Linked DNA regions of Sus scrofa. Each later gene encodes a partner of the first gene's protein in a complex. Links are inferred from orthologs where the notes say so. Each region holds a gene or a part of one and is shown on either strand. Other genes may lie near its edges.

Region 1 (3,542 bases):
TCTTTTCGGCATTTTAGGGCTGCACCTGTGGCATACAGAAGTTCCTAGGCTAGAGGTCAAATCAGCTGCAGCTGCCAGCCTACACCACAGCCACAGCAACGTGGGATCCAAGCGCAATCCACGACCTATGCCACAGCTCACGGTAACGCCAGATCCTTAACCCACTGAGCAAGACCAGGGATTTAGCCTACATTGTCATGGAGACTATGTCAGATCCTTAACCCACTGAGCCACGATGGGAACTCCATCTATCTAATCTATCTTTATCATAACTCCCCCTTGCAAGCAGAGTTTAACAGTACTATAGTGGGGAATGCATAAAAAAAGGGACAGAATAATTTCAGAGGTAGTTTGTCCCCCAAATACTTAAGCGATCAATATAGAATGCATGTTTTTTTGGTTCATAATCACCCCCCTTGCTCCCTTCCCCTCACCCCAACCCCTGCTTCTGTTTTGGCAAATGTATATTTTAAGGTAGATGCTACAGGTATGACGATCTCCTTGCATCAGAAAATAGAGAAACACACAATGGTGGAGGGAAATATGAGGACTGTTTAATACTGCAGGAGTGAACATGCTGGCTCATTTCCCTGTGTATGGGATGGGTGGTCACCCAGCAAAGCTGATGCATGGCAACCAGAGCAACCACGCTTCAGCAGTACTTAGAAGCACCTTCTGTAGAGGAAGAAAGGCCCATGTTCCTCATACTCAAAACGGTGGACCCACAGTGGCTGGAAGCCCTGAAGCGAGGCCAGGATGGAGCCCCCCGTCCACACAGCAGTATCTCTTTCGGGCAACACGTTTACCTGGGGGGTATCATTGGGACACATGCTGCTCAGCTCCTTCTGCAGACGGTTAGGGAAACCGCTGAGCATGGTGCTCCCCCCGCAGAGCAGGATGTTCCCCATGAGGTCTCGTTTGAGGGCGACGTCACACTTGTTAAGGCAGGACACCGTCTGGGTGTGGAGGCCCAGCTGCATGGACTTGATCAGAGAAGGCTTGAAGAACATCTCTGAGCAGAGGAACCTTTCCTGGCACAGGTATATCTGCTGCCCATCTGGCAGGGTGTACTGGATCGTGTGCTCGTTGGCTGGGACTTTCTTCTCTTCAATGGGGTCCAGGGCCACAAAGCAGCATTTCTTCTTGATGTCCTCCACAGTGCACAGCTGGTCCTCGGTGAAGTGTTTCCCCGAACTGTTCATCAGGCTCATCAAGTAAGTGGTCAGGTCAGAACCCGCGTAGTCCAGTCGTCCAGTGATACTGGGCAAAGGATAGCCCTCATAGATGGGGACGACGTAGGACACACCATGGCCCACCTCCACAACCAGGCCGGAGGTCCTCCCGTAGGAATACATGGACAGGCGGGACTGGTAGGCGATGTGCATCGCGGGAGTTTTGAAGGTCTCAAACAGCATCTCCGCGTACTTCTCTCTGTTGGTGTGTGGGCTCAGGGGTGGGTCCGAAACCAAGACTGCGTGCTCTTCAGGGGCGATCTTCATCTCTTGGTGGAAGAGATATTCCCAGATATCCTGCACCGTATCCCAGTCCACGATGATGCCATGTCTCAGAGGATTCATTAGCTTGAGACGAACCTCTGGGTTGATGAGCTCGTGCCCCACAAATGTCTCCTTGCGATTGTCCCCAGTTTTGGCGGTCTCCATGTAGGGCTTGCCCACCGTCGAAGAGATCCTATGGGTGGGCTTTGGCAGCCCGGCAAAGCCGCATTTACAGTAGCCCGTGCCAAGGTCCACGACTACTGCTTTGGTCACCTCCAGCTTGGGCTTCTTGACTGCTGGCGATTTAGTAGGTTCTTCTGTCTCCGAATGGTTGCGGCGAACCCACACTGCCCGCTTCGCTGGGCCTTCCCTCAGGGAGGCCGTCTGGAGGCCCTGGGTCTGCAGGGAGGCCTGTTCACCCCCTCCCTTGGAAGGCCCATCCCCTATGATTGCCGCCTGTGGAGCCCACATGCTCTCAAGAGCCATCTTGTTCTCAGAAAGTTCCTCAATCCCACAGGCTTCAAGGCCTGAAAGACTTAAATGAGAGGGCAACTTGAGAATTTCCCCAATGATGACATCACTGATTATGACATAATCCGGTGACCCAGGGCTTCCCAGATACTGGGAAGTTTGTCCTGTGTTAGGGTAGATTTGGGATAGTGTTTTTGAGGTGACTTACTCTTTTCTAAATTTTGTAATAAACCCTGTTTATCCAATCAGTTAATATTTTTTGAGTGCTGTGTACAAGGCAGGCAGCAGTTAAAAAAAAAAAAAGGCAAAAATCTCTGCCCTTTAGAACCGACGTTCTAGTCAGTGGGGGTTGGGGAGAGACAGGCAATAACCAAAATAAATATATGTTGGAAAGTGTTAAGAGCAAAATGGAAAAGCAAAGCAGGGAAGGGAGCAGGGCAGGGTGGCTGTGTTCATGTGCTTGGGCAGGGCTCCCTGAGACAGTGACACTTGAGTGAAGACCTGAAGGGGTCAGGGAGGGCTCCACGTGTGTCTTGGGGAGTGGCAGGTGCAGATGACAGGGGTTTAGAGCAGGGGTCTACAAAATCAGACCTGCGGACTGTTTTTATAATAAAGTTATATTGGATCACAGCTATGCTCACTCATTTACATATTGTCAATGGCTGCTTTTGTGCTACAACCTCAGAGTTGAGTCATTGCAATAAATACTCTATGGCCTGTAAAGCTAATGATGAATATTGACCATCTGGCCCTTTATAGAAAAAGTTTGCTGATCTCAGAGTCAGAGGATCCCAAGACGACCAGTGTGGCTACTGTGGAGAGAGCCCAGAAATGTGACATGGGAGGAGGGCTGGGGGAGGGTGAGCGGCTCAGACCTCACAGGCCATTGCTAGGACTTTGGCTCTGACTCTCTGTGAGGTTGAAAGCACTGGAGAATTTTGAGCAGAGAGTTGACACTATATGATTTAGATTTCAGCAGGACCAATTGCGGCTGTGGTGACTCTGCCCAGCAATTTTGTCCTGCTTGTTTCTTAGGGCGACCTTCAGAGGAATTACTGCAGACACTCATTTGCACACATACTCCTCCTTCGTCCAGGTCATTGGGTTGGCAATGAAATTAGACCCTATAGTCCCACTGATGAGAACATCAGGGGTCCTGGGTGCATAGCTCCCCCAAGGATATCCAGCCAGCAGTGTCAAGCTCTGCTAACTACAACTTCTTCCCAGGGGTTTCCTATGGACACATCATGATGGGACCTGACACATGTCTCTGAGGCTGCTTGGCTGCTGTCTCACATGTCATCTCTGAAGCCAGGCATGTTGGTGCTGACACCTGATGCTCTCAGGGCACCCAGAACCCTGCCTTAGGTTATATAGCACCATGCTCTCAATAAAAGAGGCAGTCACTGCAATGGTGGGCTTTCTTTTTTAAGGAAGTTACTGGGATGTTCTTTGTTCCTTTTGGGATGTGAGAGAAGAAAATGGCCAAGTCCAGTCTCATGAGCCTTGTGACTATCTGATGGGGGCAGTTTCTTAGTTCAATGGGGAGAGGAGGAGATGGCCTTGAATTTTGAA
Region 2 (2,941 bases), on another chromosome or scaffold:
AAAAATCAAAATCAAATTATTCTGGGTATGTGTCACAGAAAAGAGCTACTCCCACTATGATATAAATAGTTCAGACTGAGGGGAAAAAAAAAATCTCATGACCTACTAATATTAGGAAGAATGAAACTACTACTCTTCCATGTTCACTTCCTTTCCTCAATATATTGCCATGAAAAAATTCTTAGAAAATCAAATAGAGCTGCAATTTGAGTGTAAGAGTAATACTTGTTAGATTCACCTCAAGAGAATATAGCTTTCCCAAACTTCAATTAAAATGATACTTTCCTTCTTTTGCAAAGAAAAAACTCCTGCATAACTTGAAAACCAAGAATTTAAATAGTTTATTATAAAGTTTCATAAAACATACCTTCACCATAATGAAAAGCCTAGTTTCTGTCCTTTCTCGTTAGAAATTGTCTTTATTTTGGAGGCCTATTTTTTATCTTTGGAAACACTGCCCCCTGCTGTAACAAGTGCTTAATTGCAAAAGGATTTTTTTTTTTTTTTTTTTTTTTTTTTGCTCTCAAATGAAAGGGATATGAAGAATAGAGGTACAATCATTAAAGTGAAAGAGATTTTATTTTGAATAATAATATCATATCATTCACTCCATTTAATTTTCATACTGCATAGCTATGTATGTAAATATATAGGGAAAAATAAACATTAGAAATACATAAGGATGGAAGTATACAGGCAAAAAAGACATTTGATATATACCCATGAATAGGTGTCAGAGGACAGTATCTATTAGAAAAGAATGAAAATCAAGCAAAAAGTCCATCCAAATCACAGCAGGTTAGTGAAAATAGTACAAATTATATAGCTTCCTGGATACAAAAAGTGTGCTGTTCTTTGGATTGAAGACAATATAAATGAGTGGCTTATTTTATGTCCAAGCCAAAAATCACTTATAAAAGTAAAAAATGTGGATGCCACAAGTGACAATAAAATATTCAAGGCCACAGATAGAGGTCACCAGCTTAGAAGAGAATACTGAGAGGTAGAGCAAATTAAAAAAATAGAGATATGCAATAAAGCCGCCTCTGCCTATGTTAGGAAATAGCAAATGCATAGGTATTAAAATGATAAAAGCTCTTCATACTTGCTGCATTTCTATCTTCTCTGTCACAGGAATTCACCATGTATCATGCTACAAAATTGAGTGAATAAGATGAAGTGATAAATGTAAGGCCTTGACATTAGGGCAAGTTTAATTTCCTTTTCATTTTTATAGAAGAACGGAAAAGGAATACAGAACATGAAATGCTTATCTTTCCATTCAAATACTGGCTTTTAAATGTTTCATATATACTGTGTTGGCACAAAGAGGGTAGAAATATGAAGACTGATCAAACCCAAACTTCCAACTCAGAAGGTTTTACATCTAGAAAGCTAAGAAAAGGTAAAATATTTTACCATTTTAAAAATCAAATGCTTAAGGCAGGTTTTAAAAATTGTGATGAGAAAAAAAATTGGTAAAACAGCAAAGAAAGATACTAAACAAAATCTCCTGGTTTCCTTTAGAGTTTCTTTTTTTCTGTTTATTTTTCCAAATTGCATTTTACAGTAGAAATGCAGACCCCTCTGGAGAGCTATGGCTCAATACTGTTTGGTGCTCTCCTCTTAAGACATCATCTTCTTACACTCCACTGAACAGAACACCATCCCTTCTACTGGCATGAACTTCTGCCCAATGAGACACTTGCTGCAGCAAGAGCACAGAAAGCATTCTGTGGACGCGTGCCAACTGAAGTTGTTATAGGTCACCCGCTGTACTTCTGGATCAATGGCATTGTGGCATCCTTGACATACCTGTTAAGTCAATTATACAAAGAAAAGAGGATTAGAGCTCAAACTGTGATGGTAACATTTTCATGTGAGAACAAGCTCAGTGCATTTCTCCAGATGGTAAATTAAACTGAGAATGAGAACTTCAAAGATAGACAACCGAGAATGACCTTCTAGTTAACCCTCAGAGCCAACAACTGTCACTGCAGGTCTACATGCGGAACACTGAGAAATAACAGATAAGTCCAAACAGGATGTCCCTACAGTGTTCAAGGCAGAGAGTCTTAATGGCAAGTACCAAAGCAGTGTGTTCGGTCCCAGCATATTCTATTAGATTGCACATTTTTAGTAATTATTAGGAAAATTTTTTTATGGTTTTTTCCTATACCACCAAATGCTGGCAATGATGTGGAACAACAGGAACTCTCATTCACTGCTGGTGGGGATGCAAAATGATACATCCAATTTGGAAGACAGTTTCTTATAATGAAACTAAACATACTCTCACCACACAACCCAACAATCGTGCTCCTTGCTATTTCCCTAAATGAGTTGAAAACTTAGGTGCATACAAAAACCTGTGCATGGATGCTTTATTTGTAACTGCCAAAACTTGGAAGCAACCAAGATGTCCATCGGTTGGTAAATGGATAAACTATGGTACATTCATACTATTCAGAGCTAAAAGGAAATGAGCTATCAAGCCAGGGAGGAACCTTAAATACACATTATTAAGTAATAGAAATGCTACATACTCTGTAATTCCAACTATATGACAATCTAGAAAAAGCAAAACTATGGAGATGCTACATACTCTATAATCTGGAAATGCTACATACTCTATAATTCCAACTATATGACATTCTAGAAAAAGCAAAACTATGGAGAAAATAAAAAGATCAGTGGTTTTGAGGGCTAGGCAGTACAGGAGGCAGGCAGGGAGGTGGGAGAGATGAATAGGCAGAGCACAGGGGGCTTTCAGGCCAGTGAAAATATTCTATATGATATTACAATGCTCGATACATGTTATTTGTCCATTCTATACATTTGTCCAAACCCACAGAATACACAATATCAAGAATGAACCCTAAGGTAAACTATGGATTTAGGATGATTATGATATGGCCATACAGATTCACCTTGGTAAAAA

Evidence for each region.
Region 2: the proteins of ACTL7A (region 1) and TES are in contact, whole or in part, in a crystal structure (PDB 2XQN), measured with the Homo sapiens proteins. The link is inferred for Sus scrofa from reciprocal best matches to the Homo sapiens genes ACTL7A and TES. Residues at the interface, in NP_006678.1 of Homo sapiens: Leu28, Gln29, Thr30, Ala31, Ser32, Leu33, Arg34, Asp35, Gly36, Pro37, Ala38, Lys39, Arg40, Ala41, Val42, Trp43, Val44, Arg45, His46; in NP_056456.1 of Homo sapiens: Asn311, Glu312, Tyr313, Thr314, Gln315, Ala316, Glu317, Leu323, Phe326, Leu335, Ala336, Gly337, Glu338, Ile339, Tyr340, Val341, Tyr353, Pro370, Glu371, Val372, Gln373, Arg374, Val375, Thr376, Tyr377, Ala384, Phe389, Leu398, Ile399, Gly400.

Annotation. Positions count from the first base shown.
Region 1 is NC_010443.5:249,881,751-249,885,292, reverse strand, and holds ACTL7A (actin-like protein 7A), read right to left. Parts: upstream 2,047-3,542; 5' UTR 1,983-2,046; coding exon 663-1,982; 3' UTR 533-662; downstream 1-532. UniProt on the Homo sapiens protein: Essential for normal spermatogenesis and male fertility. Required for normal sperm head morphology, acroplaxome formation, acrosome attachment, and acrosome granule stability.
Region 2 is NC_010460.4:29,895,318-29,898,258, forward strand, and holds the end of TES (testin), read right to left. Parts: intron 1,816-2,941; coding exon 1,627-1,815; 3' UTR 561-1,626; downstream 1-560. UniProt on the Homo sapiens protein: Scaffold protein that may play a role in cell adhesion, cell spreading and in the reorganization of the actin cytoskeleton. Plays a role in the regulation of cell proliferation. May act as a tumor suppressor. Inhibits tumor cell growth.